Notamacropus eugenii: one gene and its partners. The protein of the gene in region 1 interacts with the protein of each later gene in a biochemical or structural test. Links are inferred from orthologs where the notes say so. Each region holds a gene or a part of one and is shown in the gene's direction. Other genes may lie near its edges.

The links.
Region 2: the proteins of IKBKG (region 1) and IRAK1 form a complex in vitro, tested with the Homo sapiens proteins (3 studies listed by BioGRID). The link is inferred for Notamacropus eugenii from reciprocal best matches to the Homo sapiens genes IKBKG and IRAK1.
Region 3: the proteins of IKBKG (region 1) and SENP2 form a complex in vitro, tested with the Homo sapiens proteins (2 studies listed by BioGRID and IntAct, with this or other methods). The link is inferred for Notamacropus eugenii from reciprocal best matches to the Homo sapiens genes IKBKG and SENP2.
Region 4: the proteins of IKBKG (region 1) and CYLD form a complex in vitro, tested with the Homo sapiens proteins (3 studies listed by BioGRID, with this or other methods). The link is inferred for Notamacropus eugenii from reciprocal best matches to the Homo sapiens genes IKBKG and CYLD.

Annotation. Positions count from the first base shown.
Region 1 is NC_092879.1:10,232,632-10,240,692, forward strand, and holds the start of IKBKG (NF-kappa-B essential modulator), read left to right. Parts: upstream 1-4,900; 5' UTR 4,901-5,162; intron 5,163-8,061. Other genes in the region: G6PD (glucose-6-phosphate 1-dehydrogenase), read right to left, coding at 2,380-2,507, 4,096-4,366. UniProt on the Homo sapiens protein: Regulatory subunit of the IKK core complex which phosphorylates inhibitors of NF-kappa-B thus leading to the dissociation of the inhibitor/NF-kappa-B complex and ultimately the degradation of the inhibitor.
Region 2 is NC_092879.1:22,992,520-22,999,784, reverse strand, and holds the start of IRAK1 (interleukin-1 receptor-associated kinase 1), read left to right. Parts: upstream 1-4,137; 5' UTR 4,138-4,281; coding exon 4,282-4,417; intron 4,418-6,129; coding exon 6,130-6,297; intron 6,298-6,817; coding exon 6,818-6,976; intron 6,977-7,265.
Region 3 is NC_092873.1:55,939,441-55,947,737, reverse strand, and holds the start of SENP2 (sentrin-specific protease 2), read left to right. Parts: upstream 1-4,881; 5' UTR 4,882-4,914; coding exon 4,915-5,306; intron 5,307-7,220; coding exon 7,221-7,264; intron 7,265-8,297. UniProt on the Homo sapiens protein: Protease that catalyzes two essential functions in the SUMO pathway.
Region 4 is NC_092872.1:465,962,847-465,970,601, forward strand, and holds the start of CYLD (ubiquitin carboxyl-terminal hydrolase CYLD), read left to right. Parts: upstream 1-4,530; 5' UTR 4,531-4,688; intron 4,689-5,538; 5' UTR 5,539-5,617; intron 5,618-7,755. UniProt on the Homo sapiens protein: Deubiquitinase that specifically cleaves 'Lys-63'- and linear 'Met-1'-linked polyubiquitin chains and is involved in NF-kappa-B activation and TNF-alpha-induced necroptosis.

The DNA of each region.
Region 1 (8,061 bases):
CTTCCATAGTGTCCCCCGGAGCCCTCCTTCAATCATATTAGCCCTAGGCACACCTTCTCAATAATGAACTCCTTGTAGATATTTTCTGTTGAATTCTTTATCTCCGTGGTGTTCCCTCTGCTCACACAGAATCTGACCTTCTGGAATACAAGGACTTTCCAGCCAGTTCTCGATTAAGGTAAGTAGACTGATCTACAGACCACCCATGGCTCTGTGGGTCCTGCCACTGCTGCCAGCCCAGGAGTTGAACTGGTGTAACTGGTTTTACTGTAAAGTGAGAACTATCTTTTGGGGGCTCTTTATCCTAGTGCTTAGTGAATGATGCTTGACATTGAAAAAGCCCTTCCCAATCCCCAAGAAGCCCCTTATCAGCCCAGGTTGCCCTCTCTACCCTGATTTTGAGGGGAAAAACAAAAGGCTCTAGCCTGGGAAGCTAGAAACCTGCCTAACACTTGCCAGCCTCATTAGACATTTTTCTCCTTAACTCTAGTTGAGTCAAAGTGGCTGTCTTCCTGCTCCACTCTGCATCTTTCCATCCATGCCTTTGGATTCCCCAAGCCTTCTCTGCCTCTTAGAATCTCTCTACTTCCTTGAAGCCTCAGCCTAAACACCATCTTCTCCATGGAGACTTTCCTGGTCCCTACAACTGTTAGGATCCCCCCTTCATCTCTATACTTTCTTATATTCATTTGGTGTACACACACACACACACACACACACACACACACACACACACACACACACACACACAGAGTCTTCTCGGACCTAAATTCCCTGGAAGCAGGGACTGGTTCTCTCTTGCCCTTATATCCCCTATATGTCTGACATCCTATAGACTCTTAATAACTGCTTGGAGGACTGAAGCACTCCTGGGAGTGGAAAGTTGTGGGCATGGACTTGGAGAGATTTTGGGGGCTACACGGAGTACTTTCAATGGATTCCTTTGGGACCACAGAGGTTCCCATTGAAATAATATTATTTTACTTATATGAAATGGGTCAATAGATAGCAAGACCTTGGACTGACAAAGGTTGGGAAACAGTGACTTACAGGAACAGAGGTACTTGAAACCAAGAAGGGCATGGTGAAAGCCAGGGAAAGAGAAGGAAAGGCTTCTCTTTACTCTTGCCCTCTTCTGCCAACTCATTCCACTCTCTGCACACTCCATAAGCTACTAATGGCCCTCAGGAAGCACCACTTTGTCATTTCAGAGTGCAAAATCCCCAATGCCCTGGCCCGGCTGGAGGGACCCAGCATTGGTGAGGAAGGATTAGGGTTGGAAAGGGCTGAGTTTGAATTCCACCTCAGGCCTTTACCTTGGGGATCAGAGCTCTCAATCAGAAATGCCAGCATGGTTAGGAGGCCCATAGAAGCACTGAGAAAGGTAGAAAAGTGTTTGGCAAACCTTGTAGCACTCTGGAAATGCCAACGAGCATTACCAAACTTGAAGAACAAATGATCCTAGAGCAGGTCTGGGGTGATAAGTGCAAGTTTAAGCCCAAACCCTGAATTCTAAATGAAACTTGGTGAAGAGGACACTGGGGAACAGGGGCTTCTAACCCCTGGTACAGGGGTGGGGCTTTCCTTCCAAGTCTCCAATCAGTTAATTTAGAAGAGTATTCCTTTCAGCACCCCAGAAACAAACCAACAACCAACCCAAACCATGATGACATTCCTTTGAAGGACTTCAAACACCCCTGGGGTCACAGGGCTCAGTCAGAGGGAAATAGTGGGGTATTTAGTAACCCTTAAGGGGCCCCAAAAAAGCCCCTTATCAGTCTATTCAAACCAGGCCTGGAGAAGACTGAGCCAGGTTAGATGAAGAAATTACAAAGATAAGCAAGATAACCACTCAGTTGATAAGCAAGAATGACCCACGACCTTTCCGACACCATTTGCCCTCAAGAAAGTCTCACCAGCCTTAGGGAGTAGCCTTCCCTCCTTCCCCTATTACCAGCCTCTCCACAAGTTGTCCTCTACACCCTGATTTTGAGGGGAAAAACAAAAAGCTCTAGCCTGGGAAGCTGGAAACCTGCCTAACACTAACTTGCTCTTGACATCAGGGGGTAAAAAAATCACGTTAGTAATTTGGGTTTTATTTTCCTCATCTATAAAATGAGGGTGATAATCACTGCCCTGACGCCAGGACAAGAAATCAGGAGAAACAAGATAGTATGAAAATAATCTTCAACAGAGGGCCCAAAGAACAGAACAGAAGGAACTGGGCCTTTGGAGATACTGGGAGACCGAGGACTTATGCTGAGCAGAAGCTGTGAGGTGAGTGCGCAGGTAGGAACAGAGAATCTGGAGCCAGAAGTGGGGTGAGTCCCAGCTCCTTCATACTACAAACGAGGAAAGTTGAGGCCCAGAGTGACTCACCGAGGCTCCCATGATGATGAATATGTGTGTGTCTGACTGGTGGAAGGCATCACCCTGGTACAATTCTTCCCGGAGAATTCCACACACTTGGGTCCGGCTCAGTGCCACCTGCTCTGCCATGTTGTTTTCTAGAGGAATGAAAGGATTGTGAGGGAGCTCTGGCAAAGAGAGAGTTGGAAGGTCATTGCCCCTCCCCCTAAGAGGGACAAGTGAACTCCCCAGGCAGCCCAGATTTCAAGTGGTATCTCCAAGAAGCAATTACCAGTTCAGAGTTTAGGAGAAGGGATAAAAAACGTTAGGTTTCTGATGCCTTGAGGGTATCTGAGGAGGCTTCCAGCAGTCACATTTTGTACCTGTTAAGCCCATTTTAAATATCCTACGTTTGGTCAGGATACTCAATGGCTAAGTCTGGGGATCAAAGTGGTGTTCCCCCCCCCCCCCTTCTTTCCAAAGTGGATGTCTGGAGGATGAGTTCAAGCTGGAGCCTCTCATCTGGGATTCTAGTTCAAGGTGTTCATAGCTTGAGGGGCAGGATCACAGGTGGGGGTTAATGTCGACTAGAAAATCAGGACCTAAGCAGGAACATTATTAATTCACTGATCTTCCTTCTGCTTTGAAGATAATGGGTCCCAGTCTCAGGCAGAATGCTAATTAGCTCCTTTATCCTCTTGCTTTGAAGATGATAGGGGTGGGGGTGGGGGTGGGGGTGGTAGGGAGTAGGGGGCGGGGTGGGGGAGGGGCCTAGTTCTGACTCAGTCACTGTCTGTGACCCTGGACAAGTTTATTTCTCTTGGAGTCCAAAGTTGCTTCCCTTTTAAGGGAGCTAGACTGACTGATCTGTACATTTCCATCCAGCTTGTATATTTTTTGCCATATGACCAGTATAACCAAGCACAAAATATTATTTCTTCTTGGCCTTTTCTGATGTCTCTCCTATTTCTAAAACTGGCCTGTCCCAGTCCTCACAGTCACTACTTTGGAAAATCCTCAGGATGCAACATTATCTGGCATCTGCATCAGCAAGGCACTGGACTGTGGAAGAAGACTGTTGCAGGTGCGTGGTTGTTTTGTTTTTAAAAAGAAGTCTCAAGGGAGAACCTAGAGCAAAAAGACAACCTTCTCCGCAAGGGGTTATGCCACTACCACCAGGGTCCAAATCCAGCTAACTGCAGTTCAGCCAGACCCCTGCCACAGGTTCGATTGTTGCTACCTGTTGGGGCTTGTTTCAACTTCCCTAGGACCTCAGTGGGATCTGATCTCCCTCAGCGGATGGTTCCGAAGGGTTAGAGGTTCTCCCTGATAGGTAGGTAGGAGAAGCAGAGTATTTCCAGTAGTCAGTTTGATCACATGCCTAAGCTAAAACCCCTTAGGGGATATAGAGGAAACTTTCCTTTAGATCTAGGCCCCCAGAGACAATCTACAAGGGGCAAGAAAGCCAGGCCAGGGCTGAGATGGGAAAGAGTACAGTATCTTATCTGAACAGGAAGGTCATCAATCAATGCAGAAACAGCCTTCTGACCAGGGTTCGGAGGAAGGAGATGAGGGAGGATGCTTGGGTAAAGAGGATCAAAGAGCCTGGAGACTAAGTCGAAGGAGGGAACTGCAGAGGCTTAAGAGAAAGGCTATTAGGATGGAGAGCTCAGGACAGAGGCCAGGATGCAGGGCGGGGCTGAGGATGGAGGAGGTTGGGGTTGGGCAGGCCGGGGGCCTCCTCACCAGTCTTCGCCTCCGGATCCTGGGTCACTTGCTGATCCGGCAGAGGAAGGGAGACGACCGGGCCCGCTGCTGCGCTCGGGTTAATGCCTCGTCTGCCCGAGTGCAGTTCGGCTACACTCGCCCGACTCCCCATCTCCTCCCCCTGGCCCAGCCCCGTTGGCCCCTGACTCCGCCCCGGCCCTCCCTGCTCCCCCGGCTTTGGCTCCGATCCAGACCTGGGATTCCGCACCTCGCGCTTCAGGCGCAGGAGAGCCCGCCTCCTCAGCGACATCTCTCTCTCCCACCCCCACGTGGCCTCGCCCGGCTCGCCGCTTCCGCCTGCGACGTGGCCACGCCCCCCGAGCCGGCCATGGGCCCGCCCTTCTCAGATCACGCTCCCTGTTCTTCTCGCCAAGCCGAGGTCTCCCATCTCTAGCCGGAAGCCCCGCCCCTTTGCTTATTTTCCCCCCCCCCCCCCCCCCCTCAAGAACTCCGCCCCTCGTTCCTCTCACTCCTCCTAGTTTTCTGATACCGGCCTGGAGTGGGGAGGGGAACTGATAAAGTGCATAGTCAGGGGCACTTAAGGTGACAGAAGAGATCGTTCCGAAACTAGGAGGAGGAAGCAGATGCTCTAGAAGATAGCTTAGTGCCTAGGATTTCTTTCTAGACCTAAGTGGGCCCTGGCACGGGAAACACAGGGTAAATTTCCCCCCACCCCCGCCAAAGGCGTTATTGGTTCAGTCCTCGCTCCCTGGAGGTCGGAGACAGCCAGAGGAAGGGGCGGAGACAGTCTGAGGGACTCCGAAGCTTTCACTTTTGCACTTCCGGGTTGCCGCAGCCCTCCGGCACAATCCGGAAGTGGGTGTTGGGTGGGGAGGAGTCGCTGAGGAGTCCGGGCTTCGGAGCCGTCGGCTGGGACCCGAGCTGGCGGATTCTTGGGGGGGGCCTCCGTCGCTACCTTCGGTGTAGTTTTCGCGGCTGCGTCCGTGGCGTGTGGACTCAGGCTCGGCCCGGCCGGGCCTGGCGGCTCCCCGGGCCCCGGTGGGGCCGAAGCTGAAGCCTGAAGGCCCGAGTCTCCGGCCTCCGGGGTGAGTCGGACGCCCAGGCCCCGCCCCTTGGGCCCCGCCCCCGCCCATGGCGGCCCCGCCCCTTAGCCCCTTCCCGCCGCCTGTCCCTTCACTCTGCTCTGCCATGTTCAGCCTCTCCTGCCTCATCTGGGCCACCGCTGCCGTCCGAGGTTTTGGGGTTGGCCTCAGGGTAACTGACTCCCCATTGGCCCAATTTCTCTCCCCTTCCCCCCGTCGCCGCCGCCCCCGCCCAGTCATTCTTCGTAATTCTGGGAGAGGGGAGAATGTGAAGGAAAAGAGCAGGTTTTTTTTTGCCACCATCTTTCTAGACTTCTGATGGGATTCCCACTTAACGGTGTGAGTCCGGGCAAGTTCCTGAACCTCTGATGTTTCATCTGTAAAATGGGTATGACAATAATGGACGCTACCTCCTAAGTTTGTTTTGGGGATCAGATGCCACAACTTGTGGAAAACTATGTAATTGTGAGCTCATTAATGGTGATAATAACGGGATAAGGCTGTGGCACTAAGGGGGCACCCTTCTCTGGAGTCATCGAAGTGGCACTGCCATGCCATTGGACTTGGAGGGTCTGGAAAACCCGAGTTCAAGTATCGCCTTAGACACTGGCTAGTGTGTGACTCAGGCAAGTCACTTAACCTCCGTTTGCCGTAGTTTCTTCATCTGTCAAATGAGAATAATAGCACTTATCTCCTGGAGTTGTTGTGAAGATCAAACGGGATAATAATTGTAAAGGTGACTGACACATAGTAAGCACTATGTCAATTTTAGTTAGCTGCTAACTTTCCACTTCATCTTTTCAGACCAATGCAGGGTTAGAGCTGGAAAGGACCTTGCCCACTAGATCATAAGGTCCTTGAAGGCAGAAGACTGTCTTTTGCCTCTTTGTATCCTCAGGTTAGCATGGTTCCTGGCTCATTGGTATTCATTTATGTTCTGTTCTTTTTGGCCAGGATACCGGAATGGTTTGCCATTTCCTTCTCCAGTGGATTAAGACAAAAGTGACTTGCCTCTGTTTCCTCTTCTGTAAAATGAGCTGGAAAAGGAAATAGCAACCACTCCAGTATCTTTGCCAAGAAAACCCCAAGTAGGATCATGGAGAGTGGGACATGACTGAAAAACTACTGAACAACAACAGCTTCTTGGCTCCAGACCTAGCGCTCTATGCACTGAGCCACCTAGCTACTTCCACATACTCTGTATAGCTTGGCCCATAGTAGGTGATTAATAAATGTTTATTGATTAATTGATTGAAAATGATATAATTTGTAGTATAATTTAGGGATGCTTTGGACTCAATCTGCCTAAGTTTGCTCACAGAATTTCACAGTTGGAAGGAGCCTCAGGAGCCACCTAGTTCTGCCCCTGTCCAGTAGAAATCCTGTCTAATATAGCTGGTCATCCAACCTCAGCTTGAAGATCTCCAGTAAGGGGAAACCCACCATTTGGGACACTTAACACAGGACCAAGCACATAGGCATTTCATAAAGAAATACTTGTTAACTTCCTGGGGTAGCTCCAGCCATTAGGAAATTTTTCCTGACACTGAGCTTGCTTCTGCACTCTGGGACCAAATAGCCCCCATAGAATTTCTCTTCCTGAGCTCAGCTATCTTCCTTGCCCCTCAGGCTTTTTTCCTTGGGCTAAGCATTCCTAGTTCTTTCAGCCTGTGATGATATGATATGATGGGGAAACTCTAGGCCTTTTGCCATCCTGGTTGCTTTCCTTCTTAACAATGCTGTCCTTAAATAGGTACGCCAAATGCAATACTCCTTGTAGTGATTTGTACTTTTCATGCACATGCTGTCTTGTATCTAAGTCATTGGTAATAATAATCGCAGCTAACATTTTTAAAGTTTGCAAAGCACTTTAATACATATTATCTGATTTGATCCACACTACGATCCTTGGAGGCAGGTGCTGTTATTTCTATTTTACTATTGAGAAAACTGAGAGGTTGGAAAAGTGACATGCCTGGGATCACCCAGCTAAGGAATCCTCATAGAATTCCAACTCAGGTCTTTCTTTGCTCCAGATCCAGGTCTTTATGCCCTGCGCCACCTAGAGGCCTAAAATTCTGTTTAACAGCATAGACCAAACATGGTTCTGGCCCACTCTACTGCTGATAGCCTGCCAAGTTGGCATCAGATTCACTGAACTGAGTCTAGCTGTTGAACCAGTTCTAAATCTTTCTTCTTGTATTGTCATTTAATTCATGTAGCTCTGTCTTTTCCACAAGAATAGCAGGAGATACGTCTTAAAACTCTTTATTAAAACCTAGGTAAACTATGTAGTATCCTCCCAATCAGTCTCATAACTGTCAAAAAAAAGCCTTGATGCTGACTTTTGGTAGCCCCCCTTCCCCATGCAACATGTAGATGTTCACTAAGCCTCTCTTTAGCGATGTGGGAGAATTTCCCTGAGGATGGGAGTCAAGTTCACTGGTATGTGTTTTTGCATGTTTTGTTCTCTTACCTTTTTGGAAAATTGAGGCATTTGCCTTATTTCAACTATACAGTGCTTCTCCTCTTTTCTCTGCTCTTTTGTTTGTCCACATCTGCCTGTTTTTATGATTGATGTGGACCAGGTGATGACTTCATTGGGGGTAACTAGGTACGCTCCCTTTGACTTCCTAGTAACTCATTTTGTCACCATTATTTTCCGAGAGAACAGGAGCAAAGAATCTGGCAGCTCTGCCTTCTCCTCTTCTTTGCAGAGGCAGGGTAGGGCAGCAGCAGCGGCTCAGAGGGGGGAAAAAACCACACATTTACATTATCTATGTTTCATTGTATTTTTATTTATTTTGTTAAACACGTCCCAATTACATGTAAATCTGTTTTCCTGCTGGGAGTGGGAGTGTTGCAGGACCTACTGGGTTTGATGCCTCTGGTCTTCACTCCA
Region 2 (7,265 bases), about 13 Mb from region 1:
CGGCTGGGAGAGAGATAGAATGATAGTTTAAAGGGATAGTAAGATTAAGTAAAAGGTTATTTTTTAATAATAAATTTTTTTTTCGATGAGCAAAACCCTACCTCTCCTTCCCTTCTTCCCCTCCCCAACGAAAAAGAAGGAAAAATAAAATCCTTGTGACAAATTTGCATAGTGAAACAAAACAAATCTCTGTGTTGGCTATGTCCAAAAAAATCTGTCTCACCCTGTCCCCTAAGTCCGTCACCTGTGTGTCTGGAACTGGGTAACATGCTATATCACCTATCCTCTGGAATTGTGTGGTTTGGTCGTACTGACCAGGGTTCTGGAGTCATTCACAGCAGTTTGCCTTTACAATTCAATTGTTACTAAGTGAAGGGTTTGGAGATTTTGGTTTGGGTTTTTTTGTTTGTTTGTTTTTAAGAAAGGGGATCATCTAGGCATATTTCATAGGGAAGGAACCAGTGGATAAGGAGAATTCAAAAATGAAGGCATGACCAAAAGGGCCATCTCTGAGGAGAAGGGGAATGTAATGGAATCCAGGGGATAAGCAGAAAGGGGACAGTGTGTTGAGTGTGGGGATGTGTTCTCCCTTGTTACACACATGCATTACATATAAAAGCACACAGTCTTTTCAAGAGAAAATGAACAGAAACATGTCAGACCCCATGTGGGTGCAGTGAGGTATTTTGCCATAAGGTTAGCCTCTGCTGCCATTAGAAAGGAAAGAGGTACTGAGAGCTGGAAGAGAAAGAAGTAGTTAGAGCCTAAAAGAAACGCATCTTTAACACCTTCTCTTTGCTATTCCTGAGAGTGAGCAAAGCTTTGCAGCTTTGTCAACAAGCACCAGGTAGTATAGTGTAGTGGATGGGGGGGGGGGTAAGAAGGTGTCAAGAAAACCAGGTTTCAAGACCAAATGTGTCACTGGAGGGCAAGTCTCAGCCTCTCAGTGTCCCCAGCAGCCCCCTAACACCAGCAATGGCTGAGCAGGTGCCTGTCACTGCCCTCATCACTGCTCCCAAACTGACTTTCTCACACATGCTCCATCTCCTATTGTAATCCCTGGCTTTCCTCAAGACTGGGTTCAAGTGAGGCCTTCCCCTCTGAGATCACCTGCCATCTGCCCCATATGTACCTCAGTATGTGTGTTTTGTGTGCCCCATTAGAATATACACTTCTGGAAAACGAGGACTGTCCATGGTGTTTCTTCACATCCTCAGCTTATCACAGGGTCTGGCACAGAGTAATCACTTAAATGCTTGCTGATTCATTGATAAGTGTTTTTTATACCAATGACATTGCAAGCCTGCCATCCCAAACGTTTGAGGTTCTGTCCCTAGAACTGGGCATAACATAGCTCAAAGCCCCATATTCTCTGCCCTCCAGGAGCTTTGCCATTCTAATGGAGCTGCGTCTGGAGGAGTTTCTGTTCTGCTACCTCACAGTGCTTGGTGCTTTTAGATTTGCCAAGCATTTTACTGACATCATCTCATTTGAATGGCACAATGATCCTGGGAGGTAAGTGCTATGATTATCCCTTTTTTACAGATTCAGAAACTGAGGCTCAGCAAGGAGGGAGAGTTTGGGGTCTTTGCCTTCACCTCCTCTATTTGCTTTGGTCCTCCTCCTTCTGTAAGGGCCTAGTAGTCAGTCCCTGGGCCCCGCCCCAGCCCCCCCCCCCCTTGTCCTCTTTTCCATTATCTCCTCAGTAATTTCCTGTTCCTCCTACTCCCCTAGCCCTTTTACAATTAATTCAACCACCTTAGGTTTTCCCCCTCCCACCCTACTGTCCTTCCTGCCGGAAAGATCAACTTTGGCCCACTGAGTGAACCTGCTGGGCGATTTAAGGGGTTGGGGCCACTTTAATGGGTCCCACTATTTACTTTTATGGGCCAAGGTGCTAGGTGCCCTTCCTAGTCACCTTTCTTTTACCTAACACACAGGGAATGGTTTCTTGACCTGGGTGCTGCCTGCCCCTACCCTCCCCGACTCTAGCTTGTGCTGTGGTTGTTTGACCTAGTTGTCAGCTGAACCACACTGGTAAGCTGCTTCTCCCCCTTGCTGGAGCAGGCAATGGGTAGCCTCAGCCTGACCCTAATCCTGAGATTGCCAATTCTGACCCCCTTCCCAAACTCATTCTAGTAGGTCCTTTTGGCCCTTCTTCACCTAGCTTTTCCCTCCCTTGTGACTTGCTCTGGATCCAAAAGGGTTGGAGGGGAGAGGAGACCACACCCCAAAATGGTGGGACCCTGTCCCCTAGGAGCTGATGAACAGCACAGACCATGAGGCTTTGAGGCTGAAGTGAAGTGGATATCTTTCTGGAAGAGTCTATAAGAGGAGAGGATGGGGGACAGGGTGGGTAGCTAGGAACCAGGTGAGAATGACTGTTTATGTGGGGACAAAGACTGAATGGCGTAGCCAAAGCAGAGGATACACCCTCTCCATTTACAAATGGGCAAATTAGAGCTGAATTGACCAAGGTCACATGGCTAGTAAGAGCCAGAGCTAGGTCACATCTAGATTTTCTGACTCCAGGTCCAACATTCAGCACAGGTTAAGGATGGAAACGTACATTTGGACCAGATAGTGGAGAGCCTTGAGTTGCCACTGAAGTTAGATGACTTGAATATTTTTATTTTTTTGAAAGTTAGGATTAAATGTTCTCCCTCTCGCCTTACCCCAGCATAAAATGCTTTTGGAATCCAGTAAATTGTTTCCCCTGTTGACCGAAAGATTTCTGAGAGAAATGGAGGGGGGAAAGGAATTCTCTCACTTGTCTCTAACAGCAGCCCCCTCCCTACAACATACCCAACAGGGCCTGGATCCTAGTGGATTAGGGAATGTCACTTGATGGGGGCAGATACCAAGCTCCTCTACCCTCAGGCTAAGCCCTTAGGGCTGATGGGATGGTGAGAGATCCCCTTACAATTCCAGGCCTTCTCTCACCTTAGATTTGGGGTCTCCCAAACTTCCCTATCTCACTTGTTTTACAAATGAAAGAAACAAAGACAGGGGAAATAAAACACCAGGTGGAATTTTTGAACCTGGACCCTTTGACTTTAAAAAGTCTGTGCTCTTTTTACTGAACATCTCAAGGCTTCAGACCCATTCATACAGAGATAACAATGTACATCGTCTCATATTCAATGCATGGTAGTGATTGGCCTCTGCTACCTGTGGCCAGGTCCTGTGTGGTCCCAGCATCCTACATCAGCAGAGTTGGGAGCACATAGTTCCAAAATGTCATAAATATAAAAGGCACAGGAAACAGCTCCAGGTGTTCTTAAATTGGAGTCTATGAGTTAACTAGGTGAGTTTATTTTTTTTTTAATATACTGATGATTGCATTTCAGTATAATCAGGTTCCTTTGTAATTCCTATGGATTTTATTTTATGCAATTTAAGAATAGGATTCTAAGAAGGGGTCTATGTTTAAGAGTCTGTGATCTAACCTAATCCTCTTATTTTTAAAGAATGATGCAAAGCTCCCCCCTCCCACTGCCTCTCCATTGAATAAAAAAAATAAAAAACATCATAAATATGTGTGTTCCAGTAGAAGTAATTCCCACATTGGCCATGCCCCGAAATGCTGCTCTGCGTTTCAAGATCATCACCTCTCTGGCGGGTGGGTGACTGATGCCAACTCTCTCATTTTACAGAAACAGAACTGAGGCCAGAGAGGCAAGGGACTTGCCCAAGACCACACAGCAAGTTAGTCGCAGAGCCAGACCCTAGAGGCCAACTCTGGCTAGTTCACTTTCCACTGGCCCATGCAATCGTGCCCTCCTCCTGGCGGCATTAGATGGCAAGCAGGATTCCCCTAGGCTGACCCGCCTCAGCCATTGGCCGGGATGCCTGAGGCCGGAAGGCGGCTGGAAGACTTCCAACCTTTCCGGGCTCCAAAGGAGGGGGAAGAGAGGGAAGGGGGAGGAGTGGAGGAAGAGAAAAAGGGCAGGCATTTTCCCCAGGCCACGCCCAGCAGACGTCCCCACCGTTCGCCCCGCCCCCCAGCCTCGCCCGACGTGGCGGCCCCAGAGGAAGGCGGGAGCGAGAGGGGGCAGCCTTTTCCTCCTCCTCTCCTCATCCCCGCCCCCGCCAGCATCAGGACGTTTAAAGGGATCCATTTAAAGGGGAAGTGACTCATTTTTCATAGGCTCGCCTGGCCCGGCCTGGTTCTGGAGCCCCGGGGCTCGCTCGCTTGTTGGCCAGCCTTCGCCTTCGTCTTGGCCTTGGCCTTGGCCTCGGCGTCGGCGGGCTAGGAGGCGCCGGCCGCGCGGGAGGATCATGGCCGAGGGGGCGGGCCCGAGGAGATCTGGGGATTCCGTTTCCCAGCGTTTCGTATACGAGGTGCCGGCCTGGATCATGTGTCGCTTCTACCAAGTGATGGATTCCCTGGAGTCGACCGACTGGTACAAGTTCGGTGAGGAGGCGGGGGAAGGGGGCATGGCCAGGGAGTCGCGCTGGGGCCGCGGGCCAGCCCGAAGGAGAGGGGAAGTGGCCCCGGGCGGGAAGCTGGGGCCCCCCTCCCCCAGCCCAGCCCTGGGCACCGGGATAGGAAAGGGCCCGAAGGCTGAGAATGGCCCGTGCGCTCCGGGGAACCCCTTCCATCTGCTTCCGCCCCTGGTCGTCAACCTTGGGGCTGCCGCTCCCCCCCGTTAGCCACCTTCCTTTCTGTCCCAGGCCACCCGTGCCCTCTGTGTGATCGGCGTACCAGGGAGACGAGATAGGGAGAATCATGAGACACCTCAAGAGCGTAGGATAGAGGGTTGACCCCACTGTCTCTCCTGACACTACCCCCACTCCAGATGCAGGCCCTCTTTCCCTCACTCCTGGACTATTGTAATAACTGCTGGGGAGGCAGGGGAGTAGAGGGGCAAGGGGATCTGCCTGCCTCAAGCCTGTCCCCACCTCAGTCCACCATCCATTCAGGCACCAAAGTGATTTTCCTATAAAGTTCAGGTCTTATTATGTCACACACACACACACACATTTCCACCCCCCACTCCCTGAAATAAACTCCAGGGGCTCCCAATTGTCCCCAGCAACAAATACAAAATGAGGAAACTGAGTCTGAGAGGCATTAAGTGACTTGCCTAAGGTCTTACAACTACTAAGTGTGTGAATTCCATCAGGTCTTCCAGACCCCAAGTCCAGCACCCTATCCAATACTCCATCATTTTTCTTAGAGATCATCTAATCTAAGCCTCTCACCTGACAGCGGGGGAAACTGAGACCTAGAGAGGTAACCCAGAAGGGGCCACTTTCCCAGAGGGACAGGTAGGAAAGCAATTCAAGCTCAGGACCTCTAGAGATTGGCTGCCCAGAGGCTACCACTTTCTTGTTGGTAAATTCATGAACCCTAAACTTAATAACTGTAGGTCCTTGCAGAAAAAGGAAAGCTTCCCTTTGCCCTCCCCCATCTATTCCCCCACTCTAAACTAGGACCGTGCAAGAGGGTTTGTATAGTCCAAAAGGACAATATCAGGCTCTTCTCTTGCCCCCACCCCAACACCTTGCCACCAAGAGTGAGGTCAAGAGGAAAAAGGGCCAATATTCAATGTGAGGAGAGTAAAGATAGCCAGAAACTGAGAGGGAGATGGCAAGAAGGCAGAAAAGAACCTACTGGGGAAGCAATCAGGCCAAGGAAGCCACTTTGGCCTATTCTCCCTCCCACCAACCAATTTGTTCCCAGAAGCTTTTCAAATTCTTTCTTGCAGGTGATTTGGGGCTATGGGAACAAATGGGATTGAGAACTGAAAGAGACTAGTGATTATTTAGTCCAGCTCCCTCATTTTTCAATGAGGAAACTGAGGCTCAGAAAAGGTGAAGTGACTTGCCCGTGGTCACACAGTGAAGTTAGTGGCAGAGCCAGTATTAGAACTCCAGTCCTGTGACTCAAAACTCAGGGTTCCTTGTCCATGGGCAGATGCAAGGTGTGAGTGACTTAGGACAGGGCCAGCACTGGCTTCATGCCACAGCAGGGATTGTGGTCAGAGCGAGGGCTGGGGAAGGCCTGGTGGGATGTCACCAAAGCCAACAGCCAAGCCCCAACCTGCTTCTGTCCTTGACAAGATGGCCCAAGGACAGCTTTGACTAGACTGTGTGGAGGTGACCCGTTTTCTTGCTTGTCAGCATCCCTCATTGTTCAGGACCAGACAGAACTACGGCTGGGGGAGCGTTTTCATGATCGAACAGCCAGGATCATGTGGCCTTGGATTAACAAAAACGCACGGGTTGCTGACCTCCTTCATATCCTCACTCACCTACAACTGCTTCGAGCCCGAGACATCATCACCAGTTGTGAGCCTTCCCTTCAAACCCTAATCCCCCAATCTCCCCACATACATATACCCAACCCCACGTCTACTTGTAAGTGTCATCTGTCAGTGCCCAAACAAAACCCCTCCCTTCCTTCAAGTCCCCAGCTATCCCCTAGAGCTCCCCCTGTCCTAGGGGAACTTGAGGAAGAATAGTTGGATTGGGGAGGCTTCAGCAACAAAGAAGGCTGAGTTTCAATTCAAAGAACTAACCCCAGTCCTGGGCCCTAAAGTCCAAGGGACTTTCCCCCTGCCTCCCACACCCCAACCAGGCCCCAGCTGGGCTCCTAGAAATAGCATCCACCCCCCGGAGAGAGGATTTCCCTCACCCCACCCTTGTAAAGGGAGGCAGGTCTGTGTCTTTCCCCTTGGCCCCAAGAAGGTGATGGAGTGCAGGAGGAAAGCATGTTATCTCCCCCACATACCCCATATCATTCCCTGCTATCATTCTTGCTTTTTTAACAGTATCTTTGTGTCTTTTCCTTCCTTCCCTATACTTTTAGGGAATCCTGAACCCCCATCATTGCCCCCTGCTGCCTCATTAATGTGCACACCCACCCCTCCATGGCCCCCTCCTCACCCAAAGCCCACTAGCGTCCATAAGGAAGAGGGAGTCAGACCTCCCAAGGTGCCACAGTCTGCCTCGACCTTCCTTTCCCCAGGTAATGGGGCACTGTATTTGGGGAGGGGGAATCCAGAGTTTCTTGAAGGAAAGGGGTGAAACATTGACCCCCCCTTAATACCTCCTGGGCCAGCTGTCGTGGACAGGTGGGGAGGGGTCTCAAATCATGAGCTTAGGGTGAAGCCTCCTTCTGAAAAAGGAAAGGAGGGGTCCTTTCGGAGCCTTCCCTCCCTCTCAGATAACAGGCCCTAGTATGTCCTGGGCCAGCTGTGTTCCTAGAAAGCTGTATGTCCTTCAGATTTCTGTAAATTGGATTCTCTTTGAGGTGA
Region 3 (8,297 bases), on another chromosome or scaffold:
GAGGAGGATTTGTTCCAGTGGCCATGCAGGTGGCTGAAGCAGGTGCTGTGGAGCACTTAGAGCTTGGTCAGACATCAAAGATGCCAAGATCTTTCACTGCATCCCAGGCTATTGCCACTCATGTTGACTTTCATCTTGCCACTGGATTTCAATGACTCTGGAAGACAGGGGGTAATGACTGTGCAAATCTGCCTCACTTAAATCCAGTTCATGTGCAAGTCAAGGCATCACCCTATGAGGTCATTGATCCTCTCTGGAAACAAAGGGTGAACACCAACATTGCTTCTCCCCTCCTTGTTGGCCTCCTTGTTGTTCCTTGAATGATACAGCACATCCCCCAACAATGGGAATTTTCACTGACTGTCCCCCGTGCATGGAATGCTCTCCTTCCTACTTGACAAATTTTTTTTTTTGAGAAGTTAGACAACACTGTTTATTCAAAGTGTAAATAGACAGGTTCAAGGACACTGGTATTTGAGCCATTTAAAACACTCACACACACACACACACACACACACGCACACACATGCGAGCACCCTTCTAACAAAATAAAGCAAAAACTCTCCCATTGACCTAAGGGGAATGGGAAAAAACCCAGATATGAAAACTGAGCCAAACAAACAACTACAGAAAACTGACTTCTAACAAGATACATTCTCAAGTGCAGAAATAGAAGCCAGTCAATAGGTCAAAGAGAAAGTGGTCACTGCTGGGTCAAATAATGAAGCCTATCTCCTCACTCCTGACTTTCTTTGAATCCCAGTTAAGATATCACCTTCTACAGAAAGAATTTCCTTATTCCTCTCTATTCTAATGCCTCTCTCCTGTTGATTTTCCATGTACCCTGTATATAGCTCTTCTATACAAAGATATTTGTGTGTCGTTGCGTTAGATTATGAGCTCCTTCAGAGAAAGGACTGTCTTTGCCTTTGTATTGCCAGAGCTTAGCACAATGCCTGGCACATAGTAGGCACTTAATAAATATTAACTTATTGACTGACTTGGTGAAGTTAGAAATGAAAGATCTGACTAATTTTTTTTTGTTCTGTGTGTTTGGAAATGCTCCTATTTAACTTCGGAATAAAAAATAAAATGTTTAAAAAAGAATCACCTTACTATAATGAGGGCATAGTTCATGTAACATAAATTTGTTGCTAATCACCAGTCAGCACGGATTCTTTGGAAGATCTAACAACAGAAATAACCCTGTTCAATGAGCCTCTATTATTAACCATCTAACCAGACATCAGACAGGGAGATGTATACTGGATGAAGATATTTGTCACCATAATTGAGGGGATTCAGTGCATAATCCAGGGTAAAGAAGGATTCTCCACTGATGGTGAGGTCCAGTCCTCCAAACTCTCCTGTTTATAGATGACATTATGCTGATTGCATCAGGTCCCAAGATGCTGTGGAATCTGCAAGAGAGCTGTAATCACTGGAAGATGTTTGGTCCAGCCATTCACATAGGAAAGACCAACTAGATGAATGATATCTATTGCTCAAACTTCAACATGCATCTGAAGAGAACCCTACAGACCCTGTTGGATAGTGTGTCTATCTGGGGTAGGTCTTTCAAGGGGATGGTGAACTGGGCCCAGAGCTGAAAAGGAGGAAGTGAATGGGCTGGATTGCTTTCAAGAAATTGCAGAGCTCTTTTACAGAACCTAAATTTCTCATTATAGTAAAGACTCATCTTTTCAATACCAAGATTTTACTTGTGTTGTTCCATGGTAGAGAGCCTTGAAACAGAGGCCACTGTCTCTGAAAAACTAAAGATGAGAATGATGAGAACACAGAGAGAAACTGAGAGGTGTGTGATGGTGCAAGTAGGTTGTAACATGTAACCAACAAGGAACAAAGAATAATTGCATACTTTAAAGTGGTAGATTGAATTAGTCAGTCAGTGTCTACTATTAGGCATTGAGCTAAATACTGGGGATACAAAAAGAGGCAAAGGCCCTCAAAAAGCTGGTAATCTACTGGAAATAATGTCATTAGTATTATTAGGGCAGCTAGGTGGCACAGTGAATCAGAGCACTGGGCCTGGAGTCCGAAGACTGGAGTTCAAATCTGACCTCAGACACGAGCTGATCTTGGGCAAGTCACTTAACCCTGTTTGCCTCAGTTTTCTCTTCTGTAAAATGAGCTGAAGGAAATAGAAAACAACTCTAGTATCTTTGCCAAGAAAACCCCAGATAGGGTCACAATTAAATAACAATAACAAATTATTATTAGCAGTAGTAGTGAGTATCTGAGTATACATCAAAAGGAAAGGTCAATGCTGGCTGGACTAGTCAAGGAAGGTTAGAGATAGGATTTTGGCCTGGTCTTGAAAAATGGGATAAGATTAGGAGAGTCAAAAGACTGAAGGACTCCAACCAAGTGAACATAAATGAAGCCACTGGGCACTTGAACCTCGAGTAAATTCATTTATCTCTCTGGGTCTTATTCTGAAGATGAGAGGGTTGGACTAGACAATTCCTACCTTCGGGTTCTAAATCTATGTGTTGAAAACCCAGTATCAACAATATATGTATCTGTAAGGCACCGTGAGCACTAGCTTGGTAAGGATAGAGGCTGAAATCAAAAGATAGGACAAATGACTGAGGAATTGATTAGTGCGTGAGCTTTCTAGTTTTTTGTCCCTTATGTGTTGTTTTTTTTTGCATCAGAAAAAATAGCAATATTTGTTAGTGTCTAGTAAACACTAACAAAGTAATGCATTAGGGTTGCAGCTAGAATTCAGCTTGCTGAATTTATTAGTTTTGCCCTTCTCCCCTCATACTTTTTGCTTAAATTTTATTGAAATTTAAATATTTATTCCCCAAATGATAAATGGTCAAAGGATATGAACAGGCAGTTTTCAGAGGAAGAAATTAAAGCTATCTATAGTCATATGAAAAATGCTCTAAATCACTCATAATTAGAGAGACACAAATCAAAACAACTCTGAGGTACCGCATCACACTTATCAGATTGGCTAACATGACAAAACAGGAAGAGGATAAATGTTGGAGAAGATGTGGGAGAACTGGGACACATTCATTGTTGGTGGAGACATGAGCTGATCCAACCACTCTGGAGAGCAATTTGGAATTAAGCCCAAAGGGCTACAAAAATGTGCATACTCTTTGACACAGCAATATTGTCTCTAGGACTGTATCCCCAAGAGATCATAGAAATGGGAAAGGGTCCCACATGTACAAAAACATTTATAGCAGCTCTCTTTGTGGTGGCCAAAAATTGGAAATCAAGGGGATACCCATCCACTGGAGAATGGCTGAGTAAATTGTGGTATATGAATGTAATGGAATACTACTGTGCTATAAAAATGATGAACAGGAAGACTTCAGAGAGGCCTGGAAAGACTTATATGATCTGATGCTGAGTGAAAGGAGCAGAACCAGGAGAACTTTGTGCACAGCAACGACCACAGCGTGTGAGGAATTTTCCTGGTGGACTTAGCCCTGCACAGCAATGCAAGGACCTAGAAAATTCCCAGTGGTCTCTTGAGGCAAAATGCCTTCCACATCCAGAGAAAGAACTATGGAATTGGATCGCAGAATGAAGCAGACCATTTTCTCTTGTATTATGTTTTGTTTTAAGATTTCTCCCATTCATTTTAATTCTTCTATGCAACATGACTAAGGTGAAAATGTATTTAATAAGAATGTACGTGTAGAACCTAAATAAGACTGCACACCATCTGGTGTGGGACGGAGTGGGGAAAGATGGGGGGAAGAAGGGGGAAAACCTAAGACATAGGGAAGTGGTTGTAGAAAATGGAAAACAAATCAAATAACTTAAAACATTTAAATATTTAACTTAATTGACTAATTTTAATTTTCAATCGCTAGCGTTCCCTCCGATTAGCTCCAGTTTATCCTGACCATTTGCACTTGGTTGTTTGCATGGGGTCTCTCCCACCAGCCTGTGAGCTCCCTGGGGGCAAGGACTGTCTTTTGCCTTTCTTTGTATCTCCTTCACTTAGAACAGTGCCTAGCTCCTAGTAGTTACTTAATGTAATTGGCCTCTACAAGCAGAATCTGACTTCTGACAAATAGATATTTTGTATCAGTCTTATTTTTATTTAAAAAAATTTGGAGAGGAACAGTGGTAGTGATGGGATAGACCACTATCTAAAAAAAAAGTTACAAACCCCGCATCGCTCTTAAAGTCACCATGTGTAGACTCCCGACAACGGCGATCCCTGCGGCGGGGGCTGGAGGAGCTCCGTAAGGGGGTGTCAGGGAGGCCTGTGCAGGTGGCCTCGGGGGGATGGGCAGGGAGCCCCCTCCCCCCCAAGGGTTCCAGCGGGGCCTGGGGGCCACTCTGGGGGATCTGCTGCAGGGATGAAGCTTCATTCATCCATCCTGGGTCAGGTGACCTCTGAAGTGCCCACGGAGGGGGGGGGGGCAGGCATCTCCTCGGTGCGGTGGTGAGACCCCTCCCTGGAGGTATTTCAGCAGAGGATCACTCTAGGGGAGGCCGCATAGGCAATGGCGCATGCGCAGGCCCAGCCCGCCCCAGACGCCTCTGCGAGGGGAGCCGGGCACGAACGGTCACGGGTCTTACGGCCAACGGCTCCGTGCACAGCCCGCCCGGGCCTAACCGTGGCCCACGCCCGCGCCCGCCAGGGCCCTCGGGCTCCGTTCTCCCGAAAGAGAGCGTTAGGGTGTGGCGTGGGGAGCGGTGTCGCGTTCCGTGCCTCGCGGCGCAGGATTGGCGGAAGGGCGGCGATAGCTCCGCCCCCGAACCAGCTTGGCCCGTCCGGGCCTGAGCTGCTGGGCAAAGCCGCGTTCGGAGGGTCTCCGTCGAGCTGGGGCGGGGCGGGACGGGGGCCTCTGCGCATGCGCCAGTGCACCCGGGCGGCGGCTGCGCGATTGGCGGAAGGGGGTAGTGACGTTAATGACCGGCGCCCACGCCGTGGGGACGCGCTTCCGGTGGGCGCCGCGGCGGTGTCACAAGTCTGCGACGTTGCCGTGGTGGGGCTGCTCGCGTCTGAGGCTGAGGCTGAGGCTGCGGCGGCGGCGGCCTGGTCGGCAGCGGCGGCGGCGGCGGCGGCTGCGGGGGCTGCAGGGGCTGCGGGGCCTGCGGGAGCTGCGGCGGGGCCCGTGGCAGTGGCGGCTGCGGCTGCGGTTCCGGGCGCCGGCTCTAGGCCCGTGTCGGCCTTCGCGGTTGCCGCGCCGGCCTGGTATGTACAGATGGCTGATTAGTGTCCTCCACTCCATCTTCCGGAGGCCACAAGATCGCCCCGGGCCCGCAGCGCAGCCCCAGCTCAAGAGGCGTCTCTCGGACAGGTGAGGAGGACGGGCGGGGCCGCGATCCACCGGGAGGCGGCTGCCTAGGGCGGCCTGAGGGCGGGGCTCCGGCCTCCATTTGTGCTTCCATCGGGAGAGGCCTGGCTCGATGGGCTGCGGGGCCGCGGCGCGGCCGCTTCCTCCTCTTGTAAACGGGGCGTCGGGCTCGATGAAGCCAGGCCGGGGTCCGGTGCTGCCCGGCGCGAGGCGGGAACGGGGGCGGGCCTTGCGGACATGCCGATCCTGCAGTGGATACGCGGGCAGGGCTTGCACCGCACTCGGCCCTCGTTCGGTGCGCGGTAAACCTTTGGTATCCCGGCCACCTCTGCCTTTGGCATTCTTAGGGGTTAGGTGCTTGAGCGGATCTGCAGATACAGAGTACCCAGGGAGAGGGGGGTCAGACATAGAAACCGGGTATCTTAGTGGAAACCCCAAAAGAGTTGGCTTGTAAACCCCTCCAGAGCCATTGGCTCCTCACCGTAGCCCCGGCCAGTACGCTTAGTTGTTTCTCTTTGTTATTTTGTGAGGTGGACGCTGTGAGTATTTTGTACCGTGTTTCACTTTTGAGGAGACTGAGGCTCTTAAGAAGTTAGGGACTTCTCCAAGGCCACGTTGTTACAAATGTCACAACTGAGATCCTTGTGACTTCCCGTCGGCTCTTTGGAACTTAACCCTCAGCCTCTGCTCAGAATGAGCTTATTGTCCTCGCAGGGGCTTGTCTAGCTAGAGGGGAACTAGTAGGGGTCCTGTCTGGGGAAATGAGGGCTGGAGTGGAAACGAACTCATGTAGAAGGCACCGTTTCATTTTAGATTTAGGGAGCCCAAGCGTGTGCTGCTTCACGTTCCATTTCTCTTTCCCCTTCTGTCCGGCTTCTGCTATGTTTATGCACTTACCATGAGACGTTTTGTAGTCATTTGTCTTATACCACCTGCGTCTGTAGAGTAGAGGTTCTTCACGTGGGGTCTGTGAACCAAATAGGCGGTGCTGGTAACGTTATTGTCATCAGCGTTGTTGTTTGGATGGCTGCGGGTCAGTGTGGTTGGTGTCCTTTGTAAGCCTCTGTGGTTTATTTTGTACATTTAAAAACAATATTCTGAAGAGGATTCCATAGGCTTCCCTTGCCTGCTGCCAGAGGCTTCTGGCGCACAAAACAAGTTAGGACCCTCCTGATGGTGACCCCCATGATGGGCCAGACAGCGTTATTTAATGTTTGATCTCCACCATCTCCTTGCCTGGCTTTGTGTTTAGCAGGCCTTCGTTGAGTATGGATTAACCTAAAGCCCATGGACAGAGTGGGATGTTTGTTCTGTGTCCAAAGTCCCTGTATTTTTATTGACGAAATCTTAAGATTGCTGAGGGGGGAAAAGGAGGTTTGTAGGTGGGGAGTCAGGGCATTCCTGATGTTATTTGTGGGCCTCACTTATGTCTTCAAAAGCCACAGGGAGAGGATTAATATTGCCCTCCTAAAATCCCCGAAGTACCTGGTGTTGAGGCACTGACATGCTGCTCAAATGGGTGAGACTGTAAACCCCTGTTTGGTGAGCACTGTTCCATAAATAGTTAGAGTATTTGAAGTGCTGAGATTTTCAACATAAATGAGCTTTTTTCAATATAAGCTGTTTTCCAAGTGAAAAGATCTGGTTGTTTAGTTAATTTTCTGTTGCATGTGATTATTTTCAGTGTTGTTGAAAACCTTTAACTGGCTCAAATGTCTAAATTACAATGCAATTTCCTGTGTATGAACCGAAATGATTGATAATATGTTGTTCTGTCTCAGAACATTTATTGGAACCCAACCAATAATAAAGTGGGAGTGGAGGAATGATGGAATAATTTGGTATATTTGTACATAATGGAGCGTTTATGCCTGACAAGGTAATGATGGTGCTTTTCTGGTTGTTTTTTTTTCTCAGCGCTCCAGCCACTGATGAAGTCCAAGCCAAAAGACCACGATTAGGTACTCAACGTTTACTTTAAACTCTCTGTGTGCTGTTGTCGTAGCAGACGTAGTAATAGTTGTTGTAGTACCTGCAGTAGTAGGTGGTGGGTGTTGTTGTAGAACTAGTAGAAGAAGAAATAGAAGGAAGGACAGAAGGAGAAGAAAGAGAAAAGAAAGAAAAGAAACTTGTTGTTTAGGAGAAAATGTTGTAAGCTACACCAACAACTGAGTGTTGTGGATTGTTTGGAGGCTGAAGTCCCCCTCCAGATCCTTTCCTCAAGCCCAGGGAGGTCTCACAAGCTATAAAGGCTTGAGTCCTCACCTGATCCAACATTGCAGGGAGTCATTACTAGTTAATGGTTTGATATTTGTTTGGCCATAGATGTTCATGAAACCATCTATATAATAGGAAGGGATGAGAGGTCCCTTTGGTGCAGAGAGCACCCATATCATGTGTGGATCTTTAGTGTTGGCCCCCATTTCTCTTTGTCCCAGAGAGCATTACAGACAGATGTCTTTAAATGGAAAATGTTACGATATAAGCCTTACTGAGATAGGCAACTTGGTATAATAGGCAGGGCTGGGGAACCTGCGGCCTTAAGGCCACATGTGGCCCTTTAAGTTCTCAAGTGTGGCCCTTTGACTGAATTCAGAATTCACTGAACAACAAATCCTTTAACAAAAGGATTTGTTCTGTGAAATTTGACCTTTGAAAGACCCATCATGTGTGGTCTCAAGACTGCAGGTTCCCCACCTCTAGTATGGTGGATAGAGAAATAACCTCAGAGTCAAGAAGATCTGGGGTCAGATCCCACTGTTGACATCTACTAGCTGTGTGACCTTGGGCAAACCAACTCTGAAGACTAGTGACACAGCAGTGCTCAGGTGGCTTCTTGAGGAGTTACCAAGTTCTCGACCAAAAAGCCCCACGTATTCACTAATACTTGAGAAGCTTGTGGTGCTTCTGAGGTGTAGGAGCCCCCATTGCCAAGACCGCTCCACTTCCCCTCCTGTGTGACTCTTGTCTGTGGCCTGTATCAATCCTCAGGCA
Region 4 (7,755 bases), on another chromosome or scaffold:
GGTCAAGAACTGGAAATCAAGGGGATGCCCATCAATTGGGGAATGACTGAACAAGTTGTGGTATAAGAAATGATGAACAGGAAGACTTCAGAGAGACCTGAAAGGATCTATATGAACTGATACTGAGTGAAAGGAGAACAACCAGAAAAACTTTGTACACAGCAACAACCTTGGGAGGACTGTTTCTGATAGACTTAGCCCTTCACAGCAATGCAAGGACCTAAAAAATTCCCAATGGACTCTTAAGGCAAAATCCCTTCCCCATCCAGAGAAAGAACTGTGGAACTGGATTGCAGAATGAAACAGATCATTTTCTCTTGTGTTATGTTTTGTTTTGTTTTCATGGTTTCTCCCATTCATTTTAATTCTTTTATGCAACATGAATAGTGTGAAAATGTGTTTAATAAGAATGTATGTGTAGAACCTATATAAGATTGCACCCCGTCTCAGGGAGGAAGGAGGGAGGGAGGGAAAAAATGTAAGATATATGGAAGTGATTGTAGAAAACTGAAAACAAAATAAATTAATTTAAAAAAATTAAAAAACAGATTGAACTAAGAATAACAACAACAAAAAACACCTCTATCACACTTGCACAGTTATATAATGGTAAATGATATAAATATTTGTACTTAAATTATTAACATCCACTGCGACTGTGTAGTAAGATATAGGGATGAGGTGATGTAAACTTGTGAGGCTATTGTTGGCAATATGCCTTCTTTGTCTGTTGCCCTATAAAGCAGGTGGGCACTGGTCAGTGAATGGGAAACCCTTAGAGTTGAATGCACAAACTGGATTGATGTATGTGTGCCTTGACTGGCCCCCACTGAGGCTTGAGGAGATTTAGAGAAATGCACAAGCTGTGACTGTCTCAATTGACCCCATCAAGACATAGGGGTAGCAGCCCCCCTTCTTGCTGGCCCCTGAGAGAAGGGTGATTAGAGAATGCTGTAGGAGTTAGTGCTCCCATTATCAGCAACCTTGTGAGGAGACTAGACCTGAATAAAGTAAGATTATTAACCCCTTCAAAGCTTTCTTAGTGTCTTTATATGTCTGACCAGATCAAAAATGAACCTGTGCTAGTGGCCCTCCTGTGTGCTAGTGTGTATCTGTCTTACAGAAATTTGCTGCAAATATTTCCCACCCCTTCCCCCACTCCCCAATTTCCTGCCTCTAATTTTAGTTGGATTGGGTTTGTGGAAAAACTTTTAAATTTTATGTAATCAAATTGATCTCTTTTGCCACTTCTTTCTCTTGTTTGGTCATTAACATGACCAAAGCATCACCCTGTCCATAGATTTGACAGGTAATTTCTTCCATGATCCACTAACTTGCTTACCATGTCACCCTTTATGTCTAAATTATCTACCTATTTTCAGCTTATCTTGATATGGTATGAGAGGTTGGTCTATGCCTAGTTTCTGCCAGATTAATTTCCAGCTTTTCTAATAGTTTCTGTTGAATAATGAATTCTTGCTTCAATGTTGGGCATTCAGGTTTATGAAACACTAGATTACTGTGCTCATTTGCTTCTGTATATCATATGCCTGCTCTGTTCCACTGATCACTGATCAATTTCTATTGGCCAGGACCCACTCATGGCCAGCCTTGGCCTCAGTATCTGCATACCTCTTTGTTTCCCTCAGCATCACTGGGCTGGAAAAATGACTCACTGGAATTTTTTTTTTTAATGGCCTTGTGGCCTGGAATTCAGTTTGATCCTCTTCTAGAAGGTTGTGGAGGTATCTGGATGAACTAGCAAAAATACTTCCTCTTACTCTGCCATCTTGACTCCACCCTGTTTTGTAACCTTTTGATGACAAAGCTTTTGTTTTTGTTCTATAGCCTTGTTCTCTTTGAGGCAAGAATCTACATGAGATTATAAACTATAAATGAAGTTAGCAGATTGGAGTGTGTGTGTGTGTGTGTGTGTGTGCGTGTGTGTGTGTGTGTGTGTGTGTGTGAGGAGCACAGGACTTTTTACAGCAATCATTAATTCTTCATAGATAAGAGTAATCTTCTAAAGTAGCTTGATTTGAAATTATTCAGCATGGGAAAGTCATAGCTGAAAACCAAGTTTCAAAGTCCAGCAGGGATTCCCCAAAAGCATTCTAAGGCCTATGTACAAGATTGGGCGGATTAATCTCTCTGTGGTTACTGCTTTTAATATCCTCCAAAGAAGGAGTAGAGTTGAGGGTTCTCCTAAGGGTGAGTGGGCATTTGGAAAGAATAGTCAATCAGTCAATAATTATTAAGAAATTATTATATGCTTGACACTGTGCTAAAGTTCTGGGCATACAAGTAGGAAAAAGATAGTTCCTTCCCTAATCTAACAGGGGAAGACAATGCTGAATGGGGGTTAATGTACCGGGCATGGGAATGGTAGAGAAATCAAATCCAAAATGAGTGCAGTCAGAGAAGTCAAAGAAGTCCAACATGAGTACAGCTGGATAGGAAATGAGATGTCAGGATATTTCTCTCCTGTGTCCCCTCCAATGGAAGGGCAGTGGGTACTGGTGAGATGTGGGTGTCAAGGTTGATTTGTATCTGACAAGATGATGAGATTTCCCAATGAGTTTACTGGGGGGCATAGTAGGGAAGTCAAAGAAGTGTAAAATGAGTGTAGCCAGGTGGGAAATGAAGAGAGGTTTACACAGTCCAGAAAGGTTTCTGTTAATACTTATAAATTCTTGTGGAAAAAGAGCTCATATGAGACCTTTTCTCATTCACAAAATCCTGGTTGTCAAATGTTAAATGAAAATGGCACAGATTCTCATTCCAGAAATAAACCCCAAAACCTCTCTTGCCTTTTCTGAATGAAAATGAAGATTCTCAGTATTGTTATCATTAGGTATCAGTCTCTTAAATTCAATAGATTCTGCACAGGAAAAAAAAAAGACACAGGGATCTTACATCTTTTTAGGGAGCTGAGAATAGACAAAAAATTTGGAATCATGCATTTAACAATTTCCTCTTGGAGGATTGCCCATAGTTTTCTGTTACTCATTCTTTGCTGGGATTAAATGGCATAGCTAAATATTCTTGAGTTTCCCAGGTATAGCAATGGGAAGCTGAATGGTCATATACATTAAAATGAGTAGCTGTGGAGCATGTTTCATGAAAGCAGAAGATCCTCTACCATATACCTAGCTCTGTGCTAGGCACTGTGAAAAGAATACATAAGTAGAAGATACAGCCTTCTGCTGTTAGAGGAGCTGATCTTGTTAGGGAAATTCTATCATCAATAAAACAATTAGAGAATACCAGAGCACTTTGGGAATTGGAGTAACTGTTTAAAGATGAGTCTTGAATTGATCCCTAAAGGGGTCATGAAGGTCTGTGACAGCAGGTTCTTGAAGTCTATGCCAAGGGGGCACAAATGCCAACAGATAATATGAAATTAGAAAAGCTTCCAGCGTGGGTCTCACAATGGCATCCCTTCTGCGCCCCGGATGACGTACTGGGGAGGACTGTAGTACATGATAGCCATTCTGAGAGTAATTAGTTATTGGCACAGTGACACCCCTTTGTGCTTTTACCTCTCAGGATGAATCCCACAGACCCTTAGGAGTAAGTGGGAGAATTTTTCCACAGGGAGAATTTATGTCATGATTAAGACCTTTCCCCTCCCACATCCCTCCTTTGAGTATTATTCATCCTCTTTCATAATTGGTACTTAATTTGTTAGAGAAAGAATTAATTAACAAGAATCCAGTGTCCTGAGAGCCTTCACTACTAAGTTAAAAAATCACTTCCTTAAATATTTTTGAGCTCACGTGGGAATCAAAAACGTCTCTTCTAATTGAAAGATCCTTAACTAAACCATAAGCCCTGGCTGTTGGCCAGGAAGGATGAATTAAATGTGTGACAATACCTTATCCTCCTCAGTGCCCTAAATTGGACCCCACCTCCCAAGGACTAGTGGGTGACTGCTGGGATAGGAAGCCCCTTCCAGAAGGGGAAACTGAGGCACAGGGCTCAGAGGGACTGGGAAACTCGATGGTTCAGGGTTAAGGACAGAGTGGTTTTTCGGGACTCCGGGCTGCCTCCCAGGAGTCCGGACTCCCAGCTCAAGCTAGGGCGTGAGCCCTGGCCTCTCCCAAAGCTTATTAGCTCCCAAGGACCGTGGACCCTGCCCTACCCAGTTCAGTAAAGCGTTTTGACAGCTGAGGCCCAGAGGGACTGGGACCGGTAATGCTCCACCCCCTCCTTTCACACAGCCAATCATGGCTGTAGGCTTGCAGCCAGACAGTCAATCAGAGAGCGCTACGCCACTCTCCCCGTCCCCGCCCCCTCTCGCCTCTTCCTCTCTTAGCCCTCCCCCACCCCCACTTTGGCTCCACCGAGCTTGACGGAGCGGAAAGTCCCTTAGTACCGAGCTGGCCCAGCAGGCATTGGCGGAAAGGCCGTCACAAGAAGGACCAATCCTGGCGCGCGCTGGAACGCCGTTCGGGTTCCGATTGGCTCTCATGCCACTTCTCCCCACCCACTACCACTCCCTCCCTTCCTTTTCTCCGGCTTGGAGGCGGGGCAGGCGGGGGCGGGCCCAGGTATCGGGTTCGGTTGCGCGGGGCCGCGCGTCTCCCCGAGATAAATAGTCGGCTGTGGTGGCGACGACTTTTGGTCTCCGGAGTCGGGGGCCGCAGGATTGGGAGCCGGGCTTCAGCCCGGTCGGACCCGTTCAGGTGAGCGAATGGCGGGCGGCGCTGGCGCCTGTGGGCCGGGGTTGGGGAGGCAAGACTCGTCGGGCGCCTTCCCCTCACTCCTCCGACGCCCCCGGCCCCGCCGCCTGCCAAGTCAGTGCTCCCCGTCCCGGCCCGTTACCTGGGCCTCGCCGGCCCCGCCGACGTCACTCTCCGACCCCGCGGACTCACGCCGCTCCCAGCGAGGCCTGCCGGTCCCGGCCTCCGCCGGAGAGGGATCCTCAACTCCGACTAACGGCCGCGGCTCGTCCGGTGCCTGGGGCGGTGGTGCCCCCCCTCCCGGGGACTGTCGTAAATAGGAGCTCCTCCCCCTTAGGGGAGGGGGCGGTAAACTGAGGCACCGGGCTGCCATGGAGCCAGCGTCCACCTTCGGGACCCAGAGACTTGTAGATGGGCTCGAAGTACTGCTTAACTCCCTCCGGTGGGACAAGGGGAGATAGGGGCTGGTGGGAAGAGCACTGAGGATTAGATGTTCGTAGGATTTAGAGCTGGAAGAGACCACACGTCAGACCAAGGATCCCCAAACTTGGGGTTCACCAACCCTGAAGAGGTCCAAGGACAGATTTCAGGGAATCCGTGAATTTGAATGGGGAAAAAAATGACACCTTGGGTTTCACTAACCTAACTGAAATTATGAAAGTAGACAATAAAACCTTATTCTGATAAGGGTTTCTGTAGGGTTCACCAGACTGCCAAAGGGGGTCTATGACAAATAAAGGTTAAGAACTCTTGGTCGTGATCCCTTTACAAATGAGGTAGCTGAGGCCCAGGGAAGGAGAGGAGTACCCACCCTACTGCTGCTCTTGCTGATTTATTCTCCTTTCTGTTTCAGTTTGCCCATCCTCAGGCTGAGGATGCTGTTACACAACCACTTGGAGTTCTTTAGTTGAAAAATTCTCTGTGGACAGAAGGTATCTCTCTTTTTCCTTTAATAGTAAATGGTCTGGTGGTTAACATATATGGATCCAAATTGATCAGTACAATTTATTACACATCTACTATCTATATTCTAGGTACTGGGGATACAAAGTCTTTCAAAAAGTGAGACAGTCTCATATCTCAAGGAGGGCCTGCTATTAGGGGTATTTAGTATGTGTACAGATAAGTAAATATAGGGTAAATATAAAATGAGGGGGGAATAAGGTGACCTTGAAGGAGGTGACACTGAAAGGAGTCAGTCAGTAAGCATTTATAAAATGCTTATTATGTGTCAGGCAATGTGCTAAGCACTGGGAGTAGAGATTCAAGCAAAAAGAAAGACAGTCCCTTCTAGGAGTAGACTAAAAAAAACCGCATCCTGATGGGTAAGGACAATACATAAAAGGAAGCTGAAAAAGGGAGTGGTGCAAAGGAAGGTACCTGACTTGGAAGCAAGTTGGAGTCTAGATTTGCAGCCTGGGGAGAAATGAACTGAAGGAGCTAGCAGGTTCTGAGAGACACAGGAGAGAGGGCCTTTCAGGCATGAGGGGTAGCATGTATAAAGACACAGAGGTAGGAGATGAAATCTAGGTCTGTTTTGCTAGAATGTAGAATGAATAAAAGGGAAAATAATGTGATTAGCTTGGAAAAGTAGGCTAGAGCCAGATTGTAAAGGTCTTTAAATGGCAAACAGAGGAGTTTGTGTTTTATCCTAAAGGTAGTGGGGAGTCACTAAAGTTTCTTGGTTAGAAGAGTGACATGGCCAGACCTGACCTTTAGGATATTAATATGGCAGTGATGTGGAGGATGGAAATAAGAATTTTGAATTTGCATTCCAGAGAATGTTGCTCATGAGTGTTTGATATACGACATGTTCTTTGTACATGTGTACAACTCTTGTTGCTTTTGCATTTTTAAGATAGTTGATTGTTCTTATCCTAGTTCCCTTTCCCCCAAGTTCAGCTAAAAATAAACTCATTACCTTGCTTTTTGACTGAAAAGTCTGTGATATAATACGATTGTTAATTTTTTAGGCTGTGGTTTCTAGGGGGGAAAGAAGAAGTCCTTAATGTGTTTCAGGGACTGAGAGAGGGAATTTGTTCTAGTGTTACTTTTCTGCACCCCCTCACACCCTAGGTAGAAGTAATGGCTCTGAGTATTAGCCTGCTGTTCTTCAGTATATAGTGGGTGGATTTGCACTAGTACATTATCAGGAGAAAATGGTCTTGGAGAACTTATTGAAACCCATAACACTTATGTTCTGTTGCAAAATCCTGGAAAATCCCAGCAAATAACACATTCCCTTTGGTGGTAGCTCTTATAAGATTTGGTAAGACCAAGGCTCATGTTTTCTTTCATGTTTTTTAAAAAAATAAGGTTTTATTGGTGTCTTCTGTTTCATATCCTACTTCCCCTCCCAGAGGACCATTTCGTATAACAAATAGTAGTATTTTTTAGAGAGGAAAAAAAATCACAATTGTTAAATACATTTTAAGAAGTCTGATAACGTGCATCATGCTTTCTTTTAAAAAAATTATAATGTCTAATGATTTCAGTGATTTTATATGTCAAGACTGGACTTACATTTGTTGACAAGAAAGATGAGAGTGAAGAAGGGAGTATGAAGTTATTATCCTATCCATCACTTGATTAATGTTACCATTTTTTCTGATTTATACTGTATTCTGAGTCGTTTGGATTTTTGATATTGGCACACAATCTGTGCTATAAAAGGATTAAATGAAATGATCCTGAAAAATCACTTTAACATGGATGTCAACATTACATTTTTCCCCTCTAATATATGACAAGTAAAATAATATTGCTTCTTCCTTACACAGTAATAAAATGTGTAACATTAGTAGAACAGTAATTAGAATGATGACTTCACTCTTCACGTTTTTATTGCTATCAAATATAACTAATTTTGATGTACAAAACCACTGAAATCATTAGACATTATACTCAAATGAATCTGTGATATCGATTCAGAAATTCCCTTTAATGAAGTAATTCAAAATCAATTCCATACCCATCCATCCTCTGTAATACTCATCCATGTTCTCAAAAGTTCACTAAGGAGGACTGCTGAACATGCTGTAGGCCTTTTCCTGACATTATGAGTACCAGT